Linked DNA regions of Elephas maximus indicus. The protein of the gene in region 2 interacts with the protein of the main gene of each other region in a biochemical or structural test. Links are inferred from orthologs where the notes say so. Each region holds a gene or a part of one and is shown on either strand. Other genes may lie near its edges.

The links.
Region 1: the proteins of transducin-like enhancer protein 4 (region 2) and PAX5 form a complex in vitro, tested with the Homo sapiens proteins (2 studies listed by BioGRID). The link is inferred for Elephas maximus indicus from reciprocal best matches to the Homo sapiens genes TLE4 and PAX5.

What each region holds. Positions count from the first base shown.
Region 1 is NC_064827.1:45,902,492-45,918,489, forward strand, and holds the start of PAX5 (paired box protein Pax-5), read right to left. Parts: upstream 6,957-15,998; 5' UTR 6,814-6,956; coding exon 6,768-6,813; intron 556-6,767; exon of another isoform or gene 1-555. UniProt on the Homo sapiens protein: Transcription factor that plays an essential role in commitment of lymphoid progenitors to the B-lymphocyte lineage. Fulfills a dual role by repressing B-lineage inappropriate genes and simultaneously activating B-lineage-specific genes.
Region 2 is NC_064827.1:96,130,426-96,146,184, reverse strand, and holds the start of transducin-like enhancer protein 4, read right to left. Parts: upstream 6,280-15,759; 5' UTR 5,425-6,279; coding exon 5,380-5,424; intron 4,946-5,379; exon of another isoform or gene 4,889-4,945; coding exon of another isoform or gene 4,850-4,888; intron 4,551-4,849; coding exon 4,453-4,550; intron 3,329-4,452; coding exon 3,265-3,328; intron 2,070-3,264; coding exon 2,025-2,069; intron 1-2,024. UniProt on the Homo sapiens protein: Transcriptional corepressor that binds to a number of transcription factors. Inhibits the transcriptional activation mediated by PAX5, and by CTNNB1 and TCF family members in Wnt signaling.

The DNA.
Region 1 (15,998 bases), about 50 Mb from region 2:
CTCTCTCCTTCTCTGAGTCTCTAGACTTCGGACTTGGCCCTTCAGCCTCTCTACACCCAGCTTTCCGACGTCTCGGACGAAGTTGCAAAGAACTTCCTCCTTGGCAGCGCTGGGGCCCCGGTGGGTTCAGAGACGCTTCCGCCACTGACGCTAAGGGCGAGACTCCGGAGTCCCGGGAACTGGCAGCCCTTACAGCCCGGGACCCGCTGCCTTCAAAGTTTCCACGGCCCCCGCTGCTCCCCCATCGCTGGGACCAGGAATGGGGGACAACAGGGACGGACTCCTCTCGCTTTGGTATCTGCCTCAAGCCTACCAACTCCTCAAACCCCGCTGCCCTCTCTCGGGAGTCTGGTTCGACTGTCTTTCAGCTGCCTCTTCCGGGACGGCCGCCGCGCTTGCCCCAGGCGTGGAGCTAGGGCAGGAGACTAGAGAAGAAGGTCCTCGCCACCAAAGCCGCTGGGACTGCCGGGGCCGGTGCTGAGATGGAACTGCTGGCCGCTCTGACTCCCCGCGCTGCTGCCGCCGCCGTCGCCGCCGCCGCCGCCGGCGCTAGCCCTCCGCCTGCTTGGCGCGCACAGTGCGCCACCGCGCCGCCCCGGAGCCGCTTTCAGGACCCGCTGCGTGTGGACAGCGCCGCCCGGGGCTCAGCCTCCCTCCGGGCGGGGGCGGGGCGAGGAGCTAACCTGCCAATCACTCTCCGTAAAGCCAATCAGAGAAGCGGCAGCCGGCCCCAGCCCGAAAGGCTGTCCCATTGGCTGAGCTACCCGCGGGCTCCGCCTGGTTAGCCTATACCTGGGCAATGGGAGAGAATGGGGGGCGGGGCCCAGGCGGCGGCGCCACGTTCATTGACAAACGCGCGGGGCAAAGGCCTAGTGGAGCGCCCGGGGGGAGAAAGAGAGTTCCTTGGCGGCTCCCTCCAGGCAGGCCTCCTCTCCTCAGCGTTGGAACTCTGGGATGCCCTGAGGGGTTGGGGGCAGCCAAAGCAAGGGTGGAGTAAAATGGTCTCTAGAAAAAGAAAAACCGGACGTCGGAGGAAGACATGAAGCATAGTAGAGAGCCGGTTTTAATCTAGACTCCATCAGACTCTTAATGGACTCAGAATGTGTACATATCAGTCTGTTTTAAACCTCAGTCGCCTCATCTGTAAAATGGGAAGGGTTATTTTAACTCTTTGATTAAGTTTCCTTCCATTTCCTAATTTAATCAAGTGCCTACTAAGCTGCCGCCTCCGCCTCCTCGCCCACCCCCTTCTCTCATCTTTCACGCAGGGCCCCCAGTCCTGCTCTAGCCGAAGGCAGAGACGTGGGGAAAAGGAGTATCTCACACTCCTTTAAAGTTAAAACCAGGGTTCACCTGGGGGAGCGGGCGATCTAAGACTTCGAACCAGGTTGCTCAGGTTCTGCGCCACAGGCCCTCTTTTCAGCCTCAGACCCGAACCCGCCAGACGCTTGGGGGCTGGTGTTGCGCGCAGCTGGGGGCTTCCATCGGCAGGGGCAATTCCGCTTCCGGGGAGGTCTCTTGAGAACCGAACGAGGCCCAATGGTGTACAGAGCTAATGAGGGTCCCTGGAGCTAGCGGGCGGGTGGGTTCTACCTGCAAGGGTCGAGCGTAGCTGTGCCGGGGCGCTATGTTGCCTCAGCTTCCAACTGTGGTAAGAACACAACCCTTCTGCCCTGCTCGGAAGTTACTGTTGTTTTTTAAGAACAAACGGGTGGGTTTCTAGCAAAACTCTTTCAACCCAGAAGGGAAGGATCTTTAGCCAGGAGTCTCATTTTCTCCGGGGTGTGAGGCCTTGGGACCACAATCAGAGGAACCGGACAGCCTTTCTCCATCCAGGCGGCCATAGTTATGTGGACGTCTATGGTGTGCCAGGACCCGACTCTGCCCCAATGGGAGTGATCCAAAGACCCTCCATTTCGAATTCATAAGCGATGATCCTCTAATATTAAAAATAAATTCATCAACACAAGGACTCTGAGTCGCCCACTCCAGACCTGGGTTTGTAGGATAGAGCTCAGGTGGACCCTGGAAGGTCTCTCGGGTCATCTTGTAGCTTTAGTCTCTGCCTCAGTCGTTCTTCCGGTTCCCCCTCCTTATCTTTCTCACATCCCTGGCCTGGCTCGGCCCTCGGACCCACCTTCTGTCCCTGTCCCAGTCCCAGCTGCCCCTGACGGGTAGAAAAGTTTCCGGGGTTGATACCCGTCCCCACCCCTTCCAGGGCACAGCTGCGAAAAACGGCCTTAGGCAGGTCTCTGGGGGCCAGGAGGCTGCGGTGTGCTGGGGGTGGGGTAGTGGTGCTATCTCTCCTTTGTCTGGAACCCGGCCTGTCCAGACCTTCTTCCCCCGGCTCACCAGCGTCTCAGAGCAGTAAGATCACTGCAGCGGGGAGGCACCTGGAGGGGTTTGAGTTCCCGCTTTCACTCCCCGCTTGCTGGAGTCAGGTGGGTGGGAAGTGACTGGAATTCAGAGCTCCAGACCCGACTTGCGAGCTTTAAGTTCCCGCTGGAGAGGCGGGGCTGTGGAGATGCTCTGAGGGACTCAGCCAGTTACACCCCCACCAGTGTTTGTTGAGCTTGGGCCTACAAACCCAGATTCTAGATTCTTTGAGCTACAGGCTTTCCCCCATTTTACAGATGCAGGGCCTGGGGCCCAGAGGCAGGCTATGACTTGCTCGAGGTCACAAAGCAAGTCGCGTGTAAAGACTGTGAGCCGGGAACTCTTTCCCAGAAGCGCCTCTCCAGAAGAGCCACTACCGGGAAGGCAGGACGTTTCTGTGTGCCAACAGGGCTCCTTCCGTGGGGATGGGCCCAGAAAAAAGGGAGAGTGCCAAATGAAATCAAAGGACTCAGCAAGGATATGTCGGCACACGCCTGTTTCTCTTCTAATACCTGTGCAATTCAGACAGAATCTCCAGGACACTGTCAGGTGGGATGGAATCAGAGAAGATTCCTCCAACAGTAGTATCTCGAATTCCCTGTTTCACACAGTCGGTAGGTTTCCGGAGCCAGAACTCAAATCTCTAGCTTGGGGCGGCTTGGGTGGTCGCCGCGTGGCTTCCACAGGACCAGTCTAACCTGTGCGCAGAGAACGGCCCTCTCCCGCACGGCGTGATGCGCCCGGCAGAGGGAGTTTGGGGAGCGCGTCCTGCTCACCCCACCCCCCGCCTCCCCTGCGTGAGGGTTATTCACCTCCGCGGACAAGCAGGTCTCCGGAAACTTCTAACCCCAAGGGACGCGACCAGACCTAATATCCTAGCCACCTAGCTGAGCCTTACAGGCCACCGAACGCTGGCCCAGAGAGGTTACGTGACTAACCCGAGATTTCACAGCGATTTGATGGCGGAGCCAGGCTTCCGCGCCTTTGGTCCTGCCTCCAGGGCTGGTGTCAAAGCCACAGCGCTGAAAGAGGTCTGGCCTAGCAGTGCGCCAACAGTCGCGTGGTTTTGTTCTCTAAGCAGCACTGCGAGTCGGCTTTAGGGGTCCGGCCCCGTGCTAGGCACCGGGGGCTAGCAACGGTGAAAGAAAACCACCTCCGAAGAAATTCAATTTATGTAAATCGAATCGCTTTTGAAAGTTTTGCGATTAAAAGGAAGCCAATTGAAAGCCGCAAAATATTCCAAGAGCATCTTGAGCCAAAGACCCGGCTTCTCTCAGAACACACCCCCCTCTCCACCCCACTCTTATCTGTTAGATTCTCCACCTTCAGCGCGCAAAGTTACCGTCGGGTCAGGGGGTCGGGACTCTTTATTGCGCTCTGTTGGCCTGAGATGGACTCCCAAAGCCCCAGTTCAGCCCATTTTCCTGCTCTGGCTTGCGGCAAAGCGAGGCCTACAGGGCTCAGACGATCTGCTCAGTTCAGAAACGGTCAGAGATGCCGCGAACATTGCTGTCCTAAGCCATGGGTCCTTTTTAAACCTCAAACAAACAAACAAAAAATCCGAGAAGGAAAGCAGCTGACTCCAGGTTACACAGTCCCGATAGAGCCGATTCCTGCGTGATTCCTTCACCTGATCAGGGGACTGTCCTGCCTGGTCCAGAAAGTGGGTGAAGGAAAGGGGACTTTAACCAGGTTTTTCCGAGAACCAAGTAAAGGACCTTTGTTATCGTCACCATAGCACCCAGCAGGCCAGGGGCGCTGGGAACACCTGTCACCTCTTCCAAAGAAGTCAGGTCCGCAGGCCCTTCCCTTGGGGCCTCAACTCTCCCGTGTGTCTAGTGGGGAGAATAATCCCTGAGATGCCGCCTTCCCAAGGCTTGGTGAGATGAAGTTCCGTGGGGAAGCAGTTATTATTAGTCCACCCCTGGGCTCATTCCAGAGCTGAGAGCCTGGATGCCAATGTCCAGTTGTAAAGTGTAGAGTCTATCCAAGTCTTCCTGGCCTTGGGACCCCACAGCTCCCACCTCAGGCGGCTTGCTCAGTAGTAGTTTTTCTCCACTGGGGGCTGGTGTGAGGGTGGGGGGGTCTATCTCCACTCTCGGCAGGAATGAAAGGTATAGGGCCAGAGAAGTCATCTTCCAGCCCTACTCCCTCCACCTGCCCACCTTGTGATCTTAGACAAGCCCCTTTGCCTCTCTGGACCTCAGTTTTCCCTTCTCCTTACCACAAGGAGGTCACTAGGTGAGAGGATCCTTAAGTGGCTCCTGCCCATTGCTGACCTTGCTGGATCTTGGATTTAGAGCTAGGTCATACCCCTTCTCCATTGTACAGATAGGGAAACTGAGGTCTGGGAGAAGGAATGGACAAATGGTCCTGAAGGAAGGAAAGGGAGGTCAAGTGGGCCATGAAAGGACCCTGGATGCCCCTTTGAGCTCCAGCCTCGCCAACCTCGCCAGCCTCGCCAGCGTCCAGCCCACTCCTCTACCGGCTGCCGGGGGGTCCTGTAGGGTACCGACAGGCGGAAGTGCAGTGCCACCGGCTCAGTACGCCCTTTCCCCGCCTCGCCCCAACTGGTCGGTGAGGAGGGGGCGTGGCTCTCCAGATTTTCAGCCTTGGCCAGCCTAGGGCTCCCCCTCAGCCCCACCCAGGCCCGCCGCGGGGAGGAATGAAATGCTTTATTGATTAAACGATTATTCAGGCGATTGAACTAATCAAAGGGCCCATCGACCGCCGTGAATTACATTCTTCGTAGACAGCTCGTCAGGAGAGGCCCGCACAGACCCCACACCCGGACACTCACAAGCCTAGGTCCTGTTCCCAACCCAGGCACAACCCTTAGTTCTGAGCGCAGGCGCCTGGGAGAGTCCCTCCTACTGAGAGACCAGTCGCCCAGGGAAGGGAGAGCTGGCTGGGGAGGAAGGATAAAGCAGAGGGGTTTTCCAGATTCTTCTCCTTGAGCCCTGGTCCCAGGAATCTTTTGGCTCCCTTCTTTTCTTCCCTCCTCCCCCTCTTGGATCTCTGTCCTCACCTCTTTTCAGTCATGAATTCGGAAACGCACCTACCCAGGGAGTTTTCCTGGGTTTGGAACCTAAGTTCACCCTCCTCTGCTCTTTGACCTGTATTTTGGCTGGTTGAAGGTGGGGGCTCATAGATGGAATAGGAAAGGAGGAACACTGGGAGAAAGGGGAGCTCTGGAGGAGAGTGTGTTCGTATATGGGTTAGCCCATGTGGCCTGGGAGTGAAAGAAGCCCCCAGACCTGGTTAATGACTCCAGGCAGATAGGGGCCTCCTGCAGCCTGCCACCTACCACCTCCTCTCAGACATAAATACGCCCTGCTCCCCAAAGCCTGGGCCTGTAGGAGGCACACACCAGGCCCTGTGCCAGAAAGACCTGTGTGCACACAGGCTTCAGAGCGGGATGCCCAGGCTAGGCACACCATACACCCACCTGTGCTCTCCTCCACTGGAGCAGCACCCACAGGATAAAACCTGAGCACACACATCTCAGTGCTAGAGACTTGTCTGGGGGAAAGCAAAGGCAGGCTGGGGGGCTCTAGAAATGTCACATCTAGCCAGTAGGCTGCCTGTTCACACCTGCCAGGGTTATGCATATCACAGGAGACCCTTCTGTACAAATGGTAGACTTGACAGTGCCCACAGAGTGAAGTAGTGCACGCCACACACCAAGGGGCCACACGCCCTAAATACACATCTCCACCCTTGCTTCAGTCTCCAACATAATGGCACCTGGGCCTGACTGGCAGTCCCCCACAGACCCCAGACCCATCTCTGTGCCCAGAGGTAGGCACTTTCTTGTGCATTGGCATGCACACAGTGGACAGCTTTCTCACTTCCAAAATCACTTGGAGTATAATGAGTGAACATAAACCCTTAAAGGAGTAGACGCACAGTCAGACCCTTATCCGAATTATAAAAATGTCACTCATGGACACACATTTTGGATGCTCAAAAGAACATACACACAAGCATCACCTCTAACACACACTAAACATACATGGGTATAAAGACGCACACAAACTCCTGGACACCCATTCAGACATTTTATAACACATGTAATACATGCAGGACACACACATTGTCAGTCATACACATACTGAGTCCCTTTATGTAAACGCACAGACTTAAACTTACAGACTCCTAGGTAGGCACCCACATAAACATTCAGAAACAGAGAAAAACACAGGCAAATTCGCAGACACATGGACTGATGCAGAGGCTTGTGAACACACTGGGAAAAAGACACGTAAATGCAACACAGGCAGACATATAGTCAATCCCTGCGAAAATGCGGAGTGCCCCCTCCTCCCCCAGGCCCAGCGCCTGGCTGTGCTCCGTTATTACCACGCCTGGAGCCGGTATCGCGGTCCTACCTGTCCTGCTGGTCCGAGGAGTCGGGTAATTTTTCTCTAAATCCATTTTGATTTTTCAGAACTTGGTGGAATGGACAGGGAAAAAAGTTTCCACTTTTTCGTGCCTTTTTTTTTTTTTTTTTTTTTGGTGCCAGGGGCCGCTTACAGGTCGGAATAATTCAAGCCTTCCGCTCCCCCGCCGAGCTGGGGTAGCTGATCACTGAGCTGAAACTAAACGTTTTAGGTGGAAAAAAAGCGTCCGAAGGCACCGTGAAATGATTAAGGAACTAAAGAGCTTCTCGCCATGTGAGATCATGTCCTGTTCTCGCCAACATCACAAGATGTCCCCAGACGCGCCGCGCCCCCAGCGCGCGCTTCCCTGCACCGCCGGCCCCGCACTGGGAAAGGGTGTAGGCGCTGCGCTTGTGGCCCTGTTCGGTGGGCGAACCGGGCCGGACCAGAGCAATGCCGGAGGCCCGAAAAGCAGCAGAGCTGCCGCCGCGCCACCCCGGACTTTTATAGGGGCGGGGGGAGGGAAGGAAGGCTTCAAAGTGCGCGGAGCACCAACCGTGCGCCTAGTGGAAGGGGCAGACAGGAGCCGAGCCCGGAGTCGGGGCTCCACGGCCGCACTCTCTACTAGACCTGCATCTTGGGGTCTCGGCCCTACGAGCTGCGCAAGAGGCCGATGGCCCCTCCAAGTGCAAACCTTGCTGCGTAGGCGGGCGCAGGCCTGGGTTTTGTTTTTAAAGAAATCAACCATTCTGCCAGGCAGGTGCTTTTAAAGGTGGTGCAGAGGCGAGCAGTGTTGCCAGGGACAGAGGGGGCGTTCCAATATCCTCAGATTCACCCCTAGGGCGGCGCCCGCCCCTAGGACTCCTAGCCACCCCACCCCCTTCCGAATTTGCAGCTCCAATACTACAGCCCGGCCCAGACTCCTGCGCAGCGCCAGGTCCCCAAAATCCCCGGGTCCCACTCAGCCTCTTGGCCCCAAAGACCCTCCCCACCCCGGGTCCCATTGTGGCCGGGGCATGGAAGTTAAGCTGTGAAATGCTGGAGATAAAATCCGGGCCTTCGCTTTGGAGTGCCCCGGCAGAGCGGAACCACCTCAGAAGGTCCTGGAGAGAGGTGGGAGCCCGGGACATCTTACCCTGGCCCATAAATGGAATCCCTCTGCCCTCGGGCCCCAAGAAGTTGCGGAGTGCCCGAGGCCCAGGGCTTGATTCCAGAAGGGAAACCAGCCCAAGACAGACCCAGCAGAGGTGTGGCATGTCCAGCCAGCTTTCTACGGCCCGGGCTTAGGACTTCCTTCCCCTCCCCAGTCCCGAGTCCAGCTGCTCCGCGGGGCCACTGGAAACCCGTGGGGCCCGGCTGAGGAGTGATCGCAGAGACAAGGCTCTCCAGGGCGGGGGAGCACTCTGCAGGAGGACTCTTGGCCCGCCGGACAATAGCAGTTTCGGAGAGTGAATCCGCGACAGTGTTGTTTGTTTTTTGGAGGGGGTGGTCACGAGGCTTGGCCGCAACCTAGGGGGAAGAGACCAGAGCTCGAGAGAAGGGGGAGGGGGGCCCGGCGGGAACCGGACACCGCGTATCCACTGAGCCAATTTCTCCACAATCGGAAACGTGTCTGTGGATTCCCGGGCCGCCCCCCCACCAAGTGGTCTGAGCAGTCCCCTTTCGCTGCCTCCTTCTTGCAGCCCGCGGGTCCCAGTCCCTGCCCCGGGGATTTGATTTCTGCCCATCCGCTTTCCCTCCGCTGCCGGGCCACAGTCCAGGCTTCCCGCCCTCCCGCCTCGCAGGGGCTGGGAGGCAGAGCCGGGGAGGAGCGGCCTGTCCGCGCCTGGAGATCAAAAGCCCTCTCGGAATTGACATTTCACCCCGGGTTGGGGCAGGGGGTGTTTGGGGCTTTTTCTATTTAGAAGGTTTGTTTTGTTTTTGTTTGTTTTCTGTTTTTTTTTTATATTTTTCCCTTATCTGAAAGACAGCCTTTTGTTACGGCGTGTTTTGCGTATTGTTGTGCGTGTGTGTGTGTGGGTATGATTTTAGAAAATTTTGCTCTGTGCGTCTTGGTCTTTTGGGTGGGTTTTGTTTTCTGATTTGTATGTTTATTGTACTTTGTCCTTGAAGGTTATCTTCCTATGTGTCCTTAAGAAGGCTTTTCCTTTCGCGCCCGCAGTGTTTTCATTTTGTATTATTAGTAGGTTTAGCTTGTGCGTGTGGCTTTAGGTGAATTTTGTGTTTGTATTTTGTTTTCTTCGATTTTGATTTTATGAACTGTGCATTTGGATGGGAGTTATGGTTTATTTTTACGTGTTTTGGTTTTAGTTTTGAGGCTTGTGGCAAGCTTTGGTGAGTTTTGCATATGTATTTTGGCTTTGTGAGACTTTTGGACTAGAAATGGAACACCGGCCGCTACTCTGTTCCTGCCTGCACCCAGAAAGGGCAGAGAATCAGGCCAAGCAGCTCCAATGGTGGGTTTACCGTGCTCTGAAATACCGTATACCCGCGCCCCGGCGCTGCCGCGCCGCTCGTTGTGATGTCGGGGTGAACTCGAAACAAATGTTCGTTCCCGAGGGGGCGCCCGCTCCAAGTCACAACCCCCGGGAGTCCTGCGGCACCAGGGCCAGGGTCAGAATTCGCAGGGTCACCCCTCCCCCAATGCCGGGATACCCAGGCCCAGTCGCGGTTCCCTTGCCCGCTCTGGATCCTTCTCCCTTTGCTCCTGGTCACCGTGCTTCAGGCCTCCCCGATTCCTGCAGCGTTGGACTGGAGGGGCTGACTCCTGGCTCCGGAGCAGGGGGCGAAATACTTCGGAGGATACGGAATTGATGCTGCGGCCCTAGAGATACCGGGCAAAGGGCCAGAGACGCAAGAAGTCTAGGCGTCGGGAACCGGGCGGGGGGCGGGGGGGTGGCGGGGAACCATCTCCTTTGCCCGCAGTCCTAGAATCTCAGAAACCCAACTCTGCTCAGCTTTCGGTTTGGAGAGCACTCCCTGGCTTGTAATAGTAGACACATGTATCCACACCCGAACCCAGTGATATACAGCTTGAGTGCGAAAGCGAGGGAGCCTGCTCCTCGGTAGCAGCGGCCTGCAAGCCTCAAGGGGAAACCAAACTGTAGTGACCTGAAAAGAATAAGGCATTCTTTCTGTCCAAGTTGCCGGGACTTCTCCAACCTCAGCACTCCTCGGATTGTTTAATGCTACACCAGGGAGAAAAGGAGAGGCAATTTAGAGATCCCCACCGAGAGGCAGAGAGGCCTGCTCGGCCGGCGAGGAAATGCGGGTCGAGAGAACAAAAAATGGAAACGGCAGCCAAGGCTTTGGGGAAAGGCAGATTGGAGGCCCAGAAACGGGCTGGTGCAGAGACTTCTCCAGGCTCCTGTGTGCTCTGGCATTATGTGAGAGGGAGAAAGCAGAAACCGAGAACAGACTGACAGGAAAAGAAAAGAGACGCAGAAGGGGTTGGCCTAGGCACGCTGCGAGCTTCCCTTCAGCTAAGACACTGTAGTCAAAGGTGGGGGGCGGGGGGAGACGACATCGGGAGGCGAGGGGCCAAGATCGAGCTCTTCTACTCGGCCAAGAAGCACAAGGGGGCTCCAGAACCCGTGGGACTGGGCCGGGAGCTCAGTTCTGGCCCAGCGCTCCCTAAGGCCTTAGCCCGAAATCTAGCAAAGATTGTGCCACTGCGGTCCGCCGCTGGGCCTCCCTCTGTGGAAGCCCTGGAAGAAGGCTAGGGGACCGACTCTGGTCTTAGGGCTCCGGGTCGAAGCAGGCGTGGAGGGTGGATGGGAGCCGATGTCTAAGCGTGAGGCGAACAAGAGGCTCCGCCCTAAATTCGGAGGACCATTTCTGGGAGCAGCTGAGGCGGGAACTGGACTCGCAGGATTCGGGTTCCGCTCAGCGCACACGTGGCACCGCACCTTGGGCAGGCGGCGCCCCTAATGCCCAGCGCTGCCCCGCTTCATTCGCTCGGCCTGAACAGTGTCAAGGTTGAGGGTGGATGCCTAGTCGCGGCGAGTACGTCCCTCGCGGTAAAGCTTGGGGCTTGCCGGGGAGCGGTGCCCTTGTGGATGGGGGCGCCTCTCGATTGGCAAATCCCAGGGCGCAGAGAGCAAAAAGCGCTCAGCGCGGGCCAGTCGCCGCCGCCAGTTTCAAGTGGCGCTTGTGGTGGTAAAGCTGAGGATCCATTTGGGTTAAAGCACCCAGTTCTGCTGCCGGTGGGGTCCTCTGTACCTAAAGGGCTTCGAGTTCCGGCTGCTGGCTTGCTGGGGCACCATGTGCCAGCAACTAAAAAAAAAAACACCCCGAAATACTCGGGTAGCGCTGGAAAACACGATGGGGCTGCGTTCGGGGTACCTGGTGCTCATGGTGGGTTATTGCTGTTGTTGTTTTACTTTACTGCCTTTCCTGCTTTAATTAAAAGTGTTACTGAGAGAAGCGTCCAAGAGCGCGGACCTGGGGCGTTTGGATGGGCTCATCTGAACTCAAATCCAGCAGTTCAATTCAGTTCCGCGATTGGTCTCCAGCGCACAGGTACACATGGCAGACGTCAAGTGTTGCCTGATACGTATGCACAGATAACGCGATTTGAAGGCAACTCTTGGAGAATTCCGAGATAAAATTCACTCTTTTGAAGTTACTTTCAAGATACATGAATATGGAAGACAGGCAGTCAATTGTGTTTAAAATTTGCCAACACACCCCACCTAAGTATCCAAAATGGGGCATTGAAAAGATTCACTGACACTCTGATTGTTTAACCTTGAAAACAAGTGTAAATCGGTTAAATTTACTTTTATATTTCCTTTTAAATTTAGCAATATCATAATTTGAAAGTAATAAAGTTATATTTTGCTACAGAAAGTTTACATATAGGATGTTTTCTTTCTACCATTGTTTATACAAAAAACTGCTATATCTCCCCACCCCTTTTTCCACCGATATTTCTCCGTGTAATGGTAAGCTTTAAATATTCATGCACCAGCCCATTTATTTAATGTGTTTTAAACTGATAACATTTTAATGTGGTATCATCTGATTCCACGAAGTACTGTAATGTAAAGAAGCTTACATCATAAGCGAATCTGAGTGAGGGCTAGGGCACAGGTTAAAGGAGTCTTCGTTTTGGACATAGATCAGAATGTTAAAGGCAAGTGAAGTGCGGCTCTAAGCAGGCTGTTTCATGTTCTCGCTTACTTCATTCTCCCGCTTTCTATAACAACCTCAGAGCTGGGGTAGAGGATCACAGCAGGATTGGGGCGCTTACCCTGGAGGCTATAGTGTAAACCTGCAAACAGCCTCAGTCTCAGGGCAGGTTGTGGGCTGAATTTTATTTTTTCTTTTTGAGGGGAGGAGGGAGACTAAAGGGAAAGAGAGGATACTACAGGATATAAAGTCTGGATTTGAGAACATGGCTGAAAGAAAATTGTGCTCTCCAAGTCTTTCAGATTTGCTCTTGATTACCTATTTTTAGCAACTTGACCAGCTATTTGTTGGTAGCTTCTTCCAGGACTCAGTCCAGAGTGAGAAGGAAGCAAGAAGCTAGGTTTGGGTCCAAAGGGCCTTTGCCAATGCTGGTGGGCAGCCATCACCCAAAGTGTTTATATTAACTTCCCCTTTACTTTGTACTGGAGCTGGAGGACAGACCTTCAGACACTGAATGCGAATCTACTAAAAAAAAAAAAAAAAAGTGTCTACAAAAAGAAAAATTAAATATGTCCCCTGATTTATTTTCAGTAAGATGGAAGCCATTTGGAATACCCCAAGTTGGTCTGGGGAGCTTACCAACATAGAACTAGAAAGTCATTTTCCCCCTAAATCATGAAAATATTTCTAGTGAGAACTCATGGAATTGTGTTCTTTTTATAAACCAGAGTCTACCTGTCACATAAGGAACTCCAGCAATTTGAGGTCTGATGACCAAAATATTCACCTAAATTCATACCGAAATATTCGAACTGTATCGTTCATACTAAAATGCTGCCAACATTTCAATAAAAACAGTTTTTAGAACAACTGCTGGTAATTTTCTTGAGAGATCCTTATAAATTCCCCCAGAAAAACAATTAAGGAATATGTAGTCTGATTTTTTTATAGACTGTACATGTTCATCTGAATACATGTATTTGTAAGATTCTATGTAGAGACAGGCTGAGAGCTTGCATGTTGGCTTCTTCTTTCTGCATAAATTCATACAAACAAGATTTGAGATGAAAACAGTTTTGGTAATTGAAAGGGGGGCATTTTTTTCCTAGTTTGGTACATCAGTTGATATCTCATTTCTCATGCAATTTGGACGTTAGGTCTTGTACTCCATGAAGTGACAAAAGAGAATTAGGCCGGCTAAAGTGTCCAAGATGAAAACCTGTCGGTGTCTGCAGGCGGTGCCTCAAAGTGCTTCCTTGGACACACGTTCCTGGTGGTGGGGAGTTTGCTGCCTCTAAACCAGGCCTGATCTTTTGTCTTTTGACCTCTGATGCATGAAATTAGGTAGCAAAAGAAAATTTGAAGAAAAGGATACAAAAACATGGAATAACAGCCTGCCTTGACAATAGTCATTGTATCAGATCATAGCAGAGCTGCCCTACGCAGCCCGAAGTGCTTGTTTATAAGGCTGCAGGTCTTCCTGGCCACTGGCATTCCTGTTTTCCTTTGTGGGAGATCTGCATTTGTTGGGGGAGGGATTAAGGGCTCTTTTTAATTAAGGGCAGAGCTGGGTTTTGTCCTGGCTCCTTTCACCAAAACAAGTGCTTGGTTCCTCCATTTCCTCTGAGGCCCTCTGTGGAGGGTCCGGTGCCTGGGTTGAGCCAGCCGGACAGCTTCCGAGACCCAGAGCCCACCTGGAGGAAAGCTCTGCCCCTAAAGCCCTTCTGACCACCCTGGCTGAAGCCGTTTCTCCAGCTGGCATGGAGGTGGGGATTGCTTTTGGTCCTGAAGGGCCACATATCCCAGTGGGCAGCCCTCTGCTCTTTCTCCTGAGGGCAGACCCGGCAGGGGAGGCTTATAAGGTACTGGGGTCCCCAGTGCCCTCTACTGTCATGAGTGTCAGGGAGAAGTGCAAGGACATTTGCAGGGAAAACTTCCATGATCCTCCACACGGCAGTCATGTGAGCCTCATAGCCACCCTGGGAAAAGATGCACAGCCCTGTCCCAGGGCCAGGGCGTGATATCACTTGACCCCCAGGTCCTGTCCAGAAGGGAGATAAACCTCTAATTAGACCACAAGGGTGTGAGGGTGGTTGTGTGGTCAAGCCATACTCTGGAAAGGAGGTTGAAGATCTCTTTGGGGGAGTGACCTGAAATGAATGTTGAAGGATGAATAGGACTTTGCTAGGTAAATAAGGACATGCAGGGCATGATTATTGTCCCTGTTTTTCAGATGAGGCTCCTGGAGCGTTTCAAGGCATAAGCAAATTGCTGTGAAACTAGCCGGCCAAGGGTTTGGTAGTAGAAGAACTAGCAAATGCTTCTGAGGGCAGGAACTTCCAGTGATCTGGGGACTGGGGCAAAGGAAGGATAGATAAGGTGGGCACACTTCCCCTAAGATTGCCAGAGCAGCAGCTGCCAATATTCTCCTCTTACCAGATGGAGTGTATGGGCCTTCAGGGTCAAAGGAGATAGAAAGGGAAAGAAAGGCCTTAGGACCAAAGAAAAGAAACACAAGGAAGCTTAATTTCTACCGATTTCTCACCTCCTGCCCTGGGAAGTTTGCAAACTCCTCAAAAACTTCAGCCTGGAGTGTGCCTTACCAAATCCTCCAAGGCTGCCTGAGACCCTCACAGAGATGTGGCTGGTGGCCACCACTCCCTGCTCAGGCCCCACAGCTCTGAGCTCTCTCTCCCTGTGACCTTGTGGGTTGGAAATGGAGTATATGTGTGCAGTTCTCACCACTCCATCTAGTCTATGAGCTCCCTTGGGCAGGGCTCTGCCCCTGGACTCCCAGCTCTTCCAGCAGTAAGTTGTTTTGTTCCTGTACAATCACCCAGAACTAGTGCCGTCGAGTAGAGTGGCTCCTAAACTTCAATGTGAGAAGAATCACATGCAGATTCCTGAAGAGCTTGATTTAGTAGTGTGGGACTGAGCTTGGAACCTGAATGTTTAATAACTTCCCTAGGTGAGTCAGTTGGAGGAGGTACCTGGACTATCTCTTGAGCACTGCCTTAAAAGCTTTTTTCAGAAGGGCTAAATCACTGTGGCTCTTTGACCTCCTTCCCCACTTCCCAGCGCTACACTTATCTAAACATTGAGAGCTTGGAACTTGTCATTGTGGCAGCATCCAGAATACCAACAGCCTTTATTGACAAATCATCCCCTATGTGCCCCCAAAAGGACCAAAGAGACATTTTACTTTGGAGATGAGTGTGTCCCCTCCTATTTTTAATTCAATTCCATTCAGCAAAGACAGCCCAGTGCTCAGTCCTGGACTGAGATGAGAGTCTCTTGCTCTCAAGCTGCTCACAGCCTGGTATGAGAAACATGCCTATGACACAAGGTAGAACCTGATCAAGATTTTAATTAAATATCATTAGGAGAATGGAGGAGGAATCCTCCCTTCCAGTTAGGGAGGACTCTATGAAGATTTTTTGAAGGAGGTGGCATTTGATCAAGGGATTGAAGTCTGGGCTGGAAAAAATGGAAAGAAGGGTCCTACAGGCAGAGATGTCAGTAAGAGCAATGGCTTAGCGGTAGAAAATGGTTTGCCTGCTTAGGAATTGGCAAGGCTGAGGGTAGAGAGAGCTCCCTGGTGATGAACCTGGGACCAGCTGAAGAAATGGAATCTCAGAGAGGTAATGTTACTTCCCCAAGGAGACATACTGAGAACTGCATTAAAAAAAAAACCAAATCCAGTGCCATCAAGTCGATTCCATCTCATAGTGACACTATTGGACAGGGTAGAACTGCCCCATACAGTTTCCAAGGAGCACCTGGTGGGTTCGAACTGCCGACCCTTTGGTTAGCAGCTGTAGCATTTAACCACTATGCCACCAGGGTTTCTGAGAACTGCATTAGAGCTGTATTAAGCTTTGGCCCAATTACCCACTGCACCCAGGTGGTATCCATGTTGGCAAAACTGGGGTCATCTGGAATTCCTCCTGAGCTTTGCAGGACCCCCTCCTACTTGTTGAACCTCTCTGTCTGAGCCCTGTGGCTAAGCAGGGGTCACTGTCACGTGGTTTGGGGGCTTTTGTGCCTGCACTATCTTCAGGATCACTCCCCAAGTGAACATATGAAGGCTCCCTCTGGATCTCCACA
Region 2 (15,759 bases):
ATTACACCGCAGGGCAACTTCCCTGCATTATTGCTGCTTTCCATTACAAGGGCATCCAGCAAGTGCATCTGGAGGAGAGGCTGAGAGGAATCAAGGCCGTCTGCCCAGGAAAACAAATAAAGACAGATATGCCTCTGTGCTTAAGGGGGGAAAGAAAGAAAATATAATAAGTAGGTGGTTTGCAGGGCTGTCTGTATTTCATAATGTGATAAACTGCCCTCAGGATTCTCGATATGATTGAATTTAAAAGCAAGAGGAAAAAGAAAGGGGGGGGGGAATTTACTCCATTCTCAATTTTAAATGCATGGCATTTGAGGCCAGCTGGACAAGATGACAGAATCACAGAGGCATAAAACGTGTAAAATTAAAGGATCTCACATACCAAAAAATAAAATACATTCAGCCAAATACAAGCTATGTACCTCTCAGAAATGTAAGTGGTATAAGAAAACCTGGAAACAAGTGGTTAAGGTAAACGAGATACAGAAGGAGAAATAAAGGGATGTTAACCATCTGGCCTAATCTTTGAAAAGACACTACTTATGGCGGAGGGGGGGACAGAGGGCAAAAAAAGCCATGTACAAGATCCAGGCCTGAAATGAAATATAATGAGGGTCATTAACAAACAATATCTCTCATGTAATTTATTCCTGCAAGGTAAAGCTAAGGGGCGCCCACCCATAACTTGAGCGGACTTTGTTTAAGCAAATGTTTATATTACTAATCTAAACAGAAACTGCGAAGATGCCAAAGTAAGAATTTAATTTCAACACGCAGCATTCAAACTATATTGTAATACTCATCTTGACATAACCAAGTAGTACGTGAAATAAAACAGTATCTGAAATAAAAGACCTCAGTTTAAGTTAATGACTGGATTTTCCTCATTTTGTTTTCAAATACCATCCATCTGATTGCTTTTACTGTTTAACAGTCATTTAAAGACTTACTGACTGCGTTCTGAGCATGTGGTGAACAACCATGCCGAAAACAGAATCCATAAAGAGTAAGAGCCTAATAATGTGGTCATTTCATATTTTCTAAACTTAGGAGGTAATGACATCCACCTTGAACTTAAATAAGAGACGAAAAGCATCAAATTTATCTCGTCTTTTCCCAGCAAGCAAACGTATACACACTATTCTGAAACGGTTAATGAAACTTAAAGCGCTATTACTAGATCACTAAAAATAAACGCTTCCATGAGAATTATCATTACCAAACAATATTCAACATGTACGCACAGGTATGGGTACACACATATACACTGCATACATATATGCATACGCTAGTTCCTGTCCAGGACACTTAAGCCAAACCTTTCTATTCAGTCTCCTGCAAAAAAAGGCTGTTTGGATCAGCACTTTCTGAGTAATCATTACCTTTTTTTTTTTTCTTTTTGGCTGAACTAATTGCTAGATTCTAAGACCCAGTGTTGAACCTCATCACATCCTTCTATCAGGCTCATTTACGCTGCACAAATTTTGGAAGTAACTGTTACAGCTCCTGCTAAGACCCAACTAAGTAGCCTCGGGGGACCGGAACAAGGATTTTACATCAATCTCTTTTGTAGCTCCACAGACTTCATTTTGATCTTCCCCAGCTCACCCTCTATCCATTCTTTCACACTGAGCCAACTAAAAGGCTCCACACAATTTAGCTTTATTTTTTAACATTTTCCAAGAAAAGCTCTTCCCTAAAACAAGTTTGCAATGCCCAAAGTATGTAAGGTAACTCCTTCCAAAGAAAAATGACATATTTTCCAATTTAGAATCCTGATTTTGAAAGTGTATACAAGATCAGCATGCATTCAGACATTTTTAATCACATTTTTAAACAATTAAAATCAGGATAATATACAACAAAGACGGGGAGCCACACACGAAAAACAGCATTCTATCTAGTTTTTTAAAATACAGGCTGCCACAAAAGCAGGCAAATTTACAAAACATACAATTCTTTTTTTTTTCAGTACGCAGTATTACCAACTGTCACTTAAAATGGTTATAAACAAAATAACTTACCTGCTTATGCATTTCTATATTCAACCCATAGGACATTTCGTAATACTGTCAAAGAAGGAAAAGCAATTACATTAGTGCCTTTCATCAAGCAACCTAAGCTTGTTCAAAATGCCCCAAAATAAAATAAAAGCCTCACCTAAGCCCAAACATCCCTAACACCTATGCCTCTAAATCAAGGAAACGCCAACCACTATCTTTAGCCTAATAAACTAGAAGCCACCTTAAGACACGGATTGTAAAAGAATAACTCACTAACTCACAAAACTGAAAAATTAAGTGCAAACACAGCATTCTTAACATCTCCGGTTATATTTTTACATCATAAACGGATGAATCAAAAAGCCCAATGAAAATTCAGTACCATATGGACTGTAACTCCCAGGCAAAACATACAAGTGGTCAAGTTAATGGCAAAAACGCTTCTCGTACCAATGCTGATGTTTTGAAAAAACTATTCAGAGGGTGCTGCTACTTAAGAGTTTCAGTTTTTCATTTTCAGTATATTGATCACATTCACACATTCAAAGGAAAAAAGCTTGATAGGAGATGAGTAAGTTACTCAGTAGCCTTTACAAACAATCATACAAATATGCTTGGTAATACTTCTGAAAAAGCAGAACTGATTTTTTTTTTGAACATGTAGTACAACTGGCTTTATAGAAATTCTGGCAGAGCCAATCAGTTATCCTAGACACCACAACACTCCTCAAACCAATCCTATAAAAAGTGAAAATGCACACACATACACACCCAATAGTAACATAAAGAATGAAAAAAAAATCTGAAAAGGGGTCTGTTATCTATTCTTATCCATCATTCTTTGAAAGTATCAAAGCACATTAAAACCTTAACGGTATACAAAAAAAACTGGTTAAAACCATTTGGAGCAAGAGCAATAAAACAACAAAGAAAACCACTAACAGAAACATTTTGCTGTGACTCTAAACAAAACATAAATCAGGTTTTTTCCGTTGTTGTTGTTGTTTCTATCTATGAAAACAAAGCACAGAAAATTATACCCCACGCAGCTGAACTTTTTGAGAATTCAAATCAAAGGTGCTTGCCAAAGGCAAGTTATAACATCTTAGAATTACAGGTTGCTAATGGACACATTCCCACAACCTCAACTACAATGGCACCACAACTATGATCTATCCTGCAGCCTCCAGCAATTTGAACATATTCTAGCTTTTGGTATCTTAAACTAATAAGCACTTTGAATCTGACACAGTTTTCTTACCATGACATAATGCCGCTGCATCTCTGTCTTCTCACTGGCGAGTTTCTCACATTCCAGCTTCAAGCTGTTGAAGACACAATGAAATCTAAGTACAACGCAGAACTTGACTTACATCCTTCAAATCTAAGTACACAAGCCCGTCTCTAAATCATCACCTACAAACACCGAATCAACAATCTTGAAAACCACCCTCATTATTGAAGGAAGGGAGAGAAACAGGTGATTAGAGCCAGCGTAGACTTGTTCTTTCAATAAAGATCAAATGGGGGTTCTTTTTTTTGTTTGCTTTTTTAAGATATATATAAAAAAAAAAAAAGCCCTTTTAGCAAATTTAATTCTAGAACCTCATCCAGAAATGCATACTCGCTAAACTCACTAAAGGAAACAAAAAACAAGGAAAATAAACATCAATAACATTTACATATCCAAGCACAAGTCAGTCCCCCAGAATGTCACAATGGAGTTTTTTCTTTAATGTTCCACGAACAGATTAATAAAAATATGAATCAAGCATATCTTATGAATGATGTCTTATTTCTTCCCACCAAAACACAAAGACAAGTTGAATACCACCACCCAGGGGCAAAGTGTAGATTGGGTTCAGTGGTTTTTTTGGTTCTTGCATTTTCGAAATACCAGTTATACATCATTAAAAGCTGGCAAAATAAAAATGTTTGAAAATCACTCTAATGACCTCCTCTAAAACAAAACATTTTTTTCAGCAAAAAAGTAATGAACTCGCTCACTCAAGACTTTCCAAGGCTCTTGGCTCTTGGTATTCCAGTGGAACGGCAGAGAGAAGTGAGAAGGAATCAACCCCAGGGTAATAAAGAACCAAGGAAGTCAAAAGGCCCCTGAATCTTCGTAACCTTCCATTCTCCTAGCCCTAATAAATCAATACCGAAAGTTTTGGTCTCAGCGTTTTCCAAGTCTCCCCTAGTTTCGATTGTTCTGCCTCGCCTTTTTTTTTTAATTTACAGAAGAAATCTTTAATTTCTTTACACCTGCCTGAAGGAAAAGAGGCCTTTACTTGCCCTTCCTGCCTGCAAGAAAAAATAGTAATAACGCCTTTCTGGTGGCCAAAAATAAGACGGGGGGGGGATGTTTGTGTGTGTTTGAGTGTCTTGGGGGGGCGGAGGAGACAAGAGCTAAGCAAACAGAAGGATCAGCTAAAGTCAATATCATTACCTGTGGTATTGAGCCTGTAAAAACTGAAACTCTTCCTTAATCCGATCACAGGACTCGGAAATCGTAAATTTAAAAGGTTGTGCAGGCTGATGCGGTGCCTAAAGAACAATAAAATACTTAATTAGCCCACATCACAGGCAAAGCAAGGAGCTGGAGAAAACCCACCACGCGGCGCTAGCATTAGGGTTTGAGGGGGGGTCGTCGCACCGGCAGCGAAAGGGCGATTAAAACTCTTCTCCCACCCACTTCTCTCATCCAAGAGCCTGGGCAAGAGCTGACTGCGGAGTGGCCCGCGTTCTCTCGTCCCTGGCCCCGCGTACCCCCGACCCCGCAGGTTCGAGACCCCGTTCCCTCCCTCGCCAACAGCACCGTTGCACCGCACCCACTCCCTCCGCACCCGGAATCGAAACTGGCCCGTCGAGGGGACTCGCGCCATGTCGTCGGGCCGCGGTCAGGCAGGGGCGGGAGGGGGTGGTGGCGCAGACGGGAGGCAGACGCAACCCTCCCGGGCTCCCTCGCTCGCCCGCCCCCAGGGGTCGGCACTCCGGAGCCGCCGGGCCAGCCGCGCCGCCGCCGAGGGCGCCCTCCCCGCCCGGGCGCGGAGTCGCGCCTCCTTCATCGCTCGCTCTCCGCCCCCCCCACCCCGGAGTCGCGGCGAGGGGATGGCGAACGACTCCGCGCGGCTTCCAGGGGCTTCAAAGACAACAATAAGAAAATGGCTACAACTCAATTGCCTCTCCGCACCCCCTCTCCGAAAGTGGCACCGCGCCGAGGCGGGGGATGGCAGGCGGGCAGCTCCCAGAGCCGCGCGCGGATTGCGGGCCGCACTCCACGCCCCTCCGGCCAAAACACAACTAAGCACACAGGGGGGCGACGCAGGGAATCCCCGGGCGCCGGGCGAGCCCGCGCCCCGCCGCCCGCACTCACCGGGTGTCTGGTCTGCGGGTACATCTTGCTCAGGTCGCGAATCATCCAAACCGATTTAGTTGGCTGCTCTGGCCAGAAGCGCGCGGCTCATTGGCTTTAATGGTCCCGAGGAGGAGGCGGCGGCGGAGGCGGCCGGCCGGGTCCGAGGGGCGGCTCGGGTAGTCGCGGCCCCCGCCGGGTCTTGCGTGACGCGGGCGGGAGGAACGCGCGGCGGCAGCGGCTGGATCCCGGTGGCCGGGCCGCTCCGCATTCCCCGCGGGCGTCACTGGCCCGCCGCGGGCATTGTCCGGCGCGCGTCTCCCGCGGCAACGCTCCGACGTTCGCTTCGCCGAGGCGCGTCCGCCGAGCCCAGCGCCACAGCCCCGCCGCTCAGCTCGGCCGGGAAAGTGCGAGCTCCGCGCCCGACTGCCCGCCGGCAGCGCCGTTCAATCTCTCGCTCGCTCTGCGCCCCACTCCAAACTTTTTTTTATTTGTCTTTTAATTGGTTGTTATTCCTCCGAATGAAAGATCTCTTCTTTCCTAAAGGCAAACACTCCTTTGGTTCGAAGAGGTCTCGCCGGTGCTTTTTAGTTTCTCTGGAGATTTTTTTCACTTCACAGCAACGATCTTTTAAAAGGCACCTTTTAGCTTCTTTTACCACATCTCATTTCCTTATTTTTCTTCCTTCCTGTTTTCTTGTCTTTTTTTTTTTCTTAACCCCAAATTGAAGGGGATTATAAAAATAAAAGAGTGAAACGCTTGCGGCTTTTTTTTTTTTAATTCTCTCTCCTTTCAAACTCTGCGAACACCACCTCAAAATAATATACAAGTGTGTGAGAAAGGGGGGAAGACAGCAGCCAACAGCCAAACACCCGCTCAGAACAGCTCTAACAACACGCTCTGTGTAGGTGACTTCTTTGACCAAATTTAGCAGCAGCTAATCATTAACATTCTGATACATATTCACAATCGTCCGTGAGGGATCGCGGAGCATCCCGGGAGATGTAGTCCACCTACGGCGACTAAGGCTGAGGATCCGGCCAGATTGACTACAATCACCGGCCGGCCACGCGACCGCTCTGGGGCGCTCTCCAAGCGCTCCGCCCACCCCCGACACGGCCGGCATCTCCAGCAACCAATCAGAGATGGCTGAACATTAATCGCCGTTCTGTGTTACTGCCCATCATTTCACTGCTGACAAATGGCGAGCCGGAGGGGAGGAGCCGGCCGGGATGAAACCCACGTGGGGGCCGGGCGTCGCCTGCGGCTTCAACCAATGAACAGAAAGGGATGGGGTTGACAGAGGCGGGGCGGAGATGGCCCGCCCAAGGCGGAGCTTCGTCCTGGCTCATGTTCCTTAGCGCGAGCTTTCGAACCAGGGAAACATTTGTTCAGCTGTCAATCAAAGTAACGTGGGGTGAGCAGAAGCGGCGGTGGCGGCTGCTGTTGCTGCTGCCCTGGCTGCATCTTCAGAACTGGGTGTTGGTGGCGGTGGCGGAGGCAAAATAAAGGGGGTAAAGGGGGCGGTGAGACTGGGGCTGGTCAGAAGATCTCCTTCCGAGTCTCATCCTCCCTCCTCAAACACCCTCCCCTTGCTCCGCGACCTCGCCAGGAATGCGGACTAATTAGGGTCCAATGTCTCCTTAAAGAGACAAGCTCGGCCTTGTGTAACGCGCCGAAACCCCTGTTGAGACAAGAGAGGGAGGATCACGCTGATCCCACTTCGTTCGGTTCACATCAATTTTACGCGCCGCTGGAGCCGGCATAATTTTCCGTGTGAACGCGGACTCGGGCCCCTGCCCTTGTTTAGAGCCGTAGACGAAGCTGCAAGACGCCTGCCTGGGCGGGGGACTGGGAGCGGCGGGTGGGCAGGCACCCCTGCCAGCCTCGGGGGAGGCTGTGATTACCGTTTAACCCCGAAGCGGGGTCGCTTCCTCCCAAGCAACTAGGGAAGGAAGCGCCCCAATAAGATCCGCCCGAGGGCCGCGGGGGCACATCCGTGCAGCCTCGAGGTGGGCTGAAGGCCCGGGGGTGAGGGCCGCAGGATTCCCGAAGAAACTTTGCCGAGGGGTCCGCCTGCATCTCGCAGACTGTTATTCGGTCCTCATTTAAGCAGGGCCAACATGGTGCCTACCACTGGCACTGGAAAGAAAATGTTCCCTGTTCCTCTCGAAGATGCTCCGGCTCCCAGTTTAGTGGGAAGAAGACTGTCTCCTTTCCCTCCAGGGCCGCCGCTCGCCCCTCCCACCCGCTGTTCTTGGGAGTAGCCAGCCCTGTTGAAACCGAGGGCACGCGGGGCTCCGGGAAATGCGGGCCGGGCCCCACGGGGTAGGAGCTGGGAAGATGGGGGCCACCCGAGGGCTGGGGCAGGAGAGATGCGGGTGGCTGGGAGCAGTCTCGGGGATGTAGGTGGGGGGCAGCCTCGGCGGGGAGGGGGCGTGCCTAGATGAAAAGGGCTTATACTGTGGGGCGAACTTAGACTCCGTGGCAAGGATGGAGTGACCCAGGGCAGGCAGCCCCTCCAACCTTAGCTCCCATCCAGCCGGTGGCAGCTCCCCAGTTTGAGAGAGAGGACGTGAGGGTTCCAAGCCATCTCTTGAGAATCTCTGTTCTTTGGGGGCTGGGCAAGAATTCGGAAAAGGTTCAAGTAGCAAACCAAAACCCATTGCCATGGAGTTGATTCAGACTCCTGCCGACCCTATATAAGACATAGTAGAACTGCCCCGTGAGGTTTCCAAGGAGTGGCTGGTGGATTCGAACTGCCGACCTTTTAGTTAACAGGCAAGGGTTGGTTAATCTAATGGTCTTGAATTTGGGCATTCATTTTTGAGTGTCGTTTTGCCCACTCTAGTGTGTCTGAGTGCTGTTGGTTCAGCATTAGTGGAAAACCATCCTTCTTGACGATGTTACGGTGGACGAATTAATGATTTAATAATCCATTTTTTTTTTAGCACATGGCATGCATGGGCCTGCCTCTGTGCTGGGCGCTGTGGAGTGCTGGTGCAAAGGAAGGCTATGGTGGTCCTCACTTGCCTCTCATTCCTTACTAAAACTCTGGAACTAGAGCTCACAGAATGTTTCAATTCAGCAAACCTATTCTCCTCCATCCCCAAAATAAGAGGACAGAGGAATCTTACGGCTTTCTGAACCTCTGTCATTCAATCCCTTCTGCCTGCATGTGGTTGTTGAGCACGGAAATGTGGCCAATCCAAAATAAAATGTGCTCTAAGTATACTTACACACCAGATTTTGAAGAATTAATATTTAAAAAAATTGAAATATCTCAATAATTTCATAAAGATTACACATGTTGAAATAATATTTTGAGTTAAAACAATATATATTATTAGTATTATTTTTGCCTGTTTATTTTTACTTTTTTTAACTTGGCTACTAGAATATTTATGTGGATCACATTACTTCCATTGGACAATACTGTCCTGAAACATTTGCAAGAATCAAAATTTAGAAGACCCAAGTGATGCAATTTCTATACTAGGACAGTGATTTTTCTAAGAACACCGGCAGCAACAGTATTCTATCCTAAGGTCAGTTATTTGCTCCCACTGGAGCTTTTCAGTAATTGGTTAAATCATCCGTACTGCCTCTGTTGGGAAGTTCCATGTTCTCTGTTTTAGCCAGAATGTTAGCAAGTTCCATAAGAACAGGGACTTATGTAGTTGTGCTCACAACTGCATTCCAAATGCCTAGATTGATGTCTGGCACATAGTTTGTGCTCAGTAAATATTTGTTGATGACATTAATGAATGAATGCCATGTTGTGTCAATATAGGAAGCTTCTGCATCTTCTGGGCTGTATTTATTGAAATTCTGTGCAGTTATTTCCCAGTACAGGAAATGAGAATTCTAATAATAGAACCTGAAGAGCTATTGAGAGGGCCAGTGGACAAAGGGGAAACTTTGCTCTGTTAGGAAATATTAAATAGCTTGTAGCAGGGACCTTTCTCCTAATATCTCTTGACAGTTTATGTCAACAGAAGAGCGACTAGAGAAATCAGGATGTTTATTTTTTATTAAGTACAGTTTTAAAATACAGCACTTGGAGATGTTTCACATTTTGGCTATGGGGCCCATAATCCATTGCCATCAAATCGAACTCCAACTCATAGCGACGCTATAGAGTAGAACTGTCCTATCGGGTTTTCTAGGCTGTAGATCTTTATGGAAGCAAACAGCCACCTCTTTCTCCCATGGAGCAGCAGGTGGGTTTGAACTGCCAGCCTATTGGTTAGCAGCCAAGCACTTAACCACTGTGCTACTAGGGCTCCTGGCTACGTGGCAGATCTGTATAACTCTCAGTGATGTCTCAGATGCCAAGTGCGGTAGCTCGTGGCCCAGTCCTAGTCCCAACACAGACAAGTGCTGCTTATGGCTACTTTTGTCTCCTCTGCACTCTGAGCTTCTCGCAAACTATTGAGATGAGCTGTGAAGTTACATGGGGGATCGTCTTATTCCTAGTGCATAGTGTGGGCTCCAAAATTTTCATGTAGAAGGGACTGGGTAACAACAATCATGTTGGAAGCTGAACCTAGAGGGCCAGTCTTGAAGTGACGTGTAAAGCAAGTATATTGTTTTCACTTCGGTTGTATGTTATAAATCATTGATACTTTCACCAAATATTTCCTGAGTACCTAATATGTGCCAGAACATGGGAATTTAACATGAGTAAATGTGATTTAGTGATTTATTACCTGCCAGCTCCAAATTCACCCTCTTGCCTGCTCTGTGAAAATGGATCTGGGCCCTTTAAATTGTTCCTTTTGCCAGCTGGCTCTGAGGCTCTGCCAGTAGAGGGCACTGGAGAGACATTGCAGGGAAAGGGTTTTGCTTCCTGGTTCTGGTGTGCTTCATCAGCATGTTCCTATAGTACCCATGGCGAGCAGCAGAACCCAGCAGCCAGCAGCTTCCCATGTAACCCCCCTTAGGCAGTTTTGTGTGGAGTGCCTCTGTGAGATACTTTCCCAGACAGTTTTCCCCGGCACCCCAGAGGATGGATTTCCAGCAAGTGTTGGGGTGCAGGTTTCTGGCAATTTCCAGAAGGCATATTTGCAGCAGGGTCCACCTGCATAATACTGTAGCATCTTCACTGCCATTCAAAGAGCCACAGCTGCTGCCCCTCCAACAAAATCTAGATCTCAGCTCTAGGGTGTGTGGGGAGTTGGGGGGAGACTCTTGTTTGGAAACTCTTATCTCAGCTCTAGGGGCAGTGAATGCTCCTTATATCTGCTATTTCTATATCCTTTAGAGGTCTCTTTACTTCGTACCAGTCAATCCGTCTTTACTTCAATTCTCTGTTATGTTAATAATTCTTTATATGAAACTTTCCTTGTTCAAGTAACTATGATTTCTCTCTTGATTGTGCCCAGACTGATACAGTAAATGGCACAAGCAAAGTCTCTTCCTTGTTAGAGCTTACATTCCAATGGAGGAATAAAAAAAAAAAAAAAAAAACAAGTTACAGTGTAATAAGAAGATGGTGGTAAGTGCTATGAAGAGAAATAAAGCAGGATAGGAGTGACTGGTCCCTGGGTGATGTGAATGGTTTACGCTCAACTAATGAGCTTAAGGTTGGCGGTTTGATCATACCCACTGGCACCACGGAAGAAAGACCCTGTGACCTGCTTCTGTAAAGATCACAGCCAAGACAACCCTATGGAACAGCTCTACTGTGTAACACATGGCGTTACCATGAGTTGGAGTTGACTCAACAGCAACCTGTTTGGTTTGGTTTTGGTTAGGTGTGACTAGAGTGGTGGAACTAGTTCAGATGAGAGGTCATGGAAGGTGGGGAGGAGGCAATAGTTAAGAGAGGCCTGAATGCCAGAAAAAACTCTCTTTGCAGGAACCTCGGGTCCAAAGGATGCACTCTGCTCCCAGTGCTGCTTTCTTGGTGGTATGAGGTCCCCATGTCTCTCTGCTTGCATCTGTCTTTTATATCTCAAAAGAGATGGGCGTGACACTATCTAAGCTTATTATAGATCTCATCAATATAACTACCACTAATCCATCTCATTACATCATACTAATAGGATTTTCAACACACAGGGAAATCACATCAGATGACAAAATTGTAGACAATCATACAATACTGGGAATCATGACCTAGCCAATTTGACAGATATTTTGGGGGGATGCAATTCAATCCATAACAGTATTTGTTTTCTATTTTGAGTGCAATGGAAAACCATGGGGTGGGCTGGGAAGGTAGATGGATGCATGTTGTAAGTAGACACAGGATCATTACAAATAACAAAGTAATTGAAAGGTGCTCTTATTCACACTTGACCTAAGATTGAGAAAGTGTCTTTTCCGTATTAAAGAATATCTGTTAGTTTTACCTTGAGAAGCTGATGAAGATTATGAAGGCACTAACCCTACCATTCCCCCCAAACATGTCCTTTGGCACTGCCACTAATGAGTAATGAGTAAATTCTAATTTGAATATAAGCCACCTATGCAATTCAGAAATGTCACGCTCTGCTTTGAATATACTAGAACAGAAATCATCACAGAGAATCAAGGACACATAAATCCATTTCTAGATCGGCAATTGACTTGCTCAGTAGCTGACTTGTCACCACCCTCCAATTATGATAAGATAGAGATAGCCATACACAGTGATCCTTATTAAAAAAGATTTAGTAAATTGATGTCAGATAGAGTGCCAAGTTTCTAAACTTGTCTAGTGAGGCAGAGCTTTAATTTTGCCGGCTGCTTTTATGTTCAGTAGTAGAGATAGCCAGGCCCTCTTTGTGTTGGCATATCCCTTCTTAACTTGACAGATAAAAGGCAAATGGGTACTGTCTTAGTCATCTAGTGCTGCTATAACAGAAATACCACAAGTGGGTGGCTTTAACAAAGAACAATTTATTCTATTACAGTCTAAATAGGCTAGAGATTCAAATTCAGGGCATCAGCTCCAGGGGAAGGCCTTCTTTCTCCATCAGCTCTAGAGGAAGACCCTTGTCATCAATCTTCCCCTGGACTAGGAGCTTCTCTGGGCAGGAACCCTGGGTCCAAAGGATGAGCTTTGTTCCCGGCACTGCTTTCTTGGTGGTATGAAGTCCCCATTCGCTGCTTGCTTCCCTTTCCTTTTGTCTCTTGTAAGATAAATGGTGGTGCAGGCCACACCCCAGGGAAACTCCCTTTACATTGGATCAGGGATGTGACCTGAGCAAGGGGGTTACATCCCACCCTAATCCTCTTCAACTACAGGCAAAGATTATGATTTATAACACATAGGAAAATCACAAAATGGAAGACAACCACACTATACTGGCAATCATGGCCTAACCAAGTTGACACATATTTTGGGGGACACAATTCAACCCATGACGGGTACCCATTGCCTATTTGGGGAAAGGAATGGCTTGGCTTGGGAGTGGGGCTGAAGAGTTTGCACAGGGAATAAGAAGGCTTCTGGGAGAAGAGCCTCCTTTCTGAGATGCTGCATTATCTGAACCACTTGAGATAGTCTCTAACTGCTGGAAGGAATGAACACCGAGGCTGTTTTCTTCCCACCTGGGTGTTGAGGGGCAAGGCTAGTAGACAGGGGACAGTGCAGCAAAAGGGGGATGTCTAGAATTCTCCATGAAGTCAACAGGAGAATGGACTGTTGACCAGGGCTCAACATCAGTACCTGTGTTACTGAGACAAGGAATACTGTTTTTTCTTCTCATTCTGAAGGAACTCTTAGTTGAAAATGGAAACCCCCTTTTGGTTCAATCATGTTGACACTAATGGAGTGTTTTGGGGCAAATGGCTAAGTGTTGGACAATGATAAAGACCTGTGTAGGACCCCCTGTGTGTAATAGGGACACCTATGTCAGCAATAGTTTAGGGGTCTGAGAGAAATCCTGGACTTTTGCTAGTCTGAACAATTTTGTCAAACATTTTAAGATATCTGCAAATGTATTTATACTCCAAGTTGATAAAGCAAATCACACCTAAGAAGGACACTATTAAAAATGATCCTCTTACTCATGAAAAGCTCACTTTATCTCTACTTTCTTTGAATCTGGGAGGGCCCTTTAAGAGATTTTTCTGTTCCAGTCTCCTGCCTTTAAGCAAACAAGGTATCATTAACCCCACTTTAAAGATCAATCAACTGAGGCTCCGAAAGAAGTTATTTGCCCGAGGTTATATAGCTTGAGAGTACTGAAGATCAAGAACCCTGTCTCCTACCTCCTTATTTCATATCTACATAAAACAGAGTTCCACAAGTGGATATTCAATTCGGTAACTGGAGCCCTACCCAATTCACCTGCGTGGTTTACTCCTTTTCAAGCAGATGTTTTATTGTTAAAATGGGGGTGGATGGTGAGTCAGGGAGATGCCTGTTGCAGCTGCCGCTGGGCAAAAGCTGAACCTGAGGCTTCCCAAGGCTACAGGAAGCAAACCTTGCTCCCTCCCTCCCTCCCTCTAGCCCTAACCTTGCCGTCTCTGAAGGCTTGACAAAGGCAGTTCAAGACCACTGAACAGTGCATGAGCACTTGAGCTTTTACTTTCAACTAACAGCAGGATCCAGTTCACACCCAGTCACCAGCGCCTCTCACCAGGCCTTCACAAGGGCTCCCGCACTTGCTACCTATCACAACAGCCTGTGGGGCAGATATTACGGGAGAAAAACCGTGCCTTTATTTTCCGAAATAGGTGGCGTGGGAACAGGGTAGGTGTGGGAAAATATAAACAAGCACCATACTGCTTTCTATGAGAAAATAATTCATCCAAGTCCAGCACTATGTTCAACTAGAACTGGAGCCCAATCCCCAGTCTATGAGCTGTTGTTAGCTTTGGTTAGACCCTTTAATCTTTTTCTTCCTCAGGAGTCTCCTCCATGAAAAGGAGGTATGGTCTGTAATTGCCATTTAAAAAAAATTTTTTTTTTGAGGGGGATCTAAGTTGGCAGTAGGGAATGAATTTGGATTCAGGATCATCTGTTAAGCTTGATCACGTTTTCTTTCCCCCCTTTTTAATACTTCCAAAGAAAGGAACTCCTGGAATAAATATCATTTGGGGGAAGTGGCTGCAGACAACGTTTTGTTGGAAATTGATTAGTTGTCTTACGAAGTGATCTAAACTGTAAAAGGCTATAATCTCCATGCTAGTATGTGGGTTCCCATGGCTATAATTCAATTCAGGACTTATCCTCAAAATTATGTAGCCTGGAACAATTCTGCTGAATCACATGACTTCCTTTAATAGAAATGCTTGTAAAATAGTGTGAATGAGCCATCATTCACTGTGTAATATCTAGTCTAGTGCACTACTATTTTTAGAAAATACTATGATTCTGGGGAATTTTCATTCATGGAGATTTCTCCACCGCCCCCCACCACCCTCTACTGCATGCTCGATTTTATATAGGATACAGACTTTTATCAAATACGTCCACAAGAGAGACTTATATTTGGTGCCTTATTTTTGTATGGGCCACAAGTGTTTACATAGTGCTGCATCAGCTGCTAACTGAAAGGTTGGAGGCTTGAGTTCACCTAGAGGTGCCTCAGAAGAAAGGCCTGGCAATCTACTTCAGAAAAATCAGCCATTGAAAATCCTGTGGCACCATTCTTTTCTGTACACATAGAGTCACCATGAATCAGAATTCACTCGACAGCAACTGATGGTGGGTCACATATTATTACATTACCACATATGTAAAGGCACAGAGAGATAAGCAGGACTGGTACTATAATCCACATTTTACAGACTAGGATACTGAGGTTCAGAGGAAACAACCTGCTCAAGATTACACAGTTAGTAAGCAAATATGTTGGAAATCAAGCATGAGTATTCAGATTCCACTTCTTTTCACTCCAACTATCTGCCTTACGTTAATTATAATGCTTTGTGCCTTACAAAGTGCTTCCATATAGCTCTTCCTTCCTTACAACACCCTATTAGGTAGACAGAGCAGGTCTTATTGCCACCATCTTACAAATAAGACTGTAAAATCAAAACAAACCCATGCTGTTGAGTCAATTCCGACTCATGGCGACCCTATAGGACAGAGTAGAACTGCCCCACGGAGTTTCCAAGGAGCACCTGCTGGATTCGAACTGCCAACTTCTTGGTTGGCAGCCATAGTACTTAACCACTACACCACCAGGGTTTCCGAGAAAACTATAATTTAGAGAAAAGTGACAACCTGGCTTATGTGTGTGTATAAATATAGGTATACATCAAATCTATATTATTTACATGTATAGCCATATGTGGAGCCCTGGTGGTGCAGCGGTTAAGAGCTCAGTTGCTAACCAAAAGGTCAGCAGTTCAAATCCACCAGCAGCTTCTTGGAAACCCTATGGGACAGTTCTACTCCGTCCTGTAAGGTCGCTATGAATCAGAATTGCCTCGACAGCAAAGGGTTTGTTTTGTTTT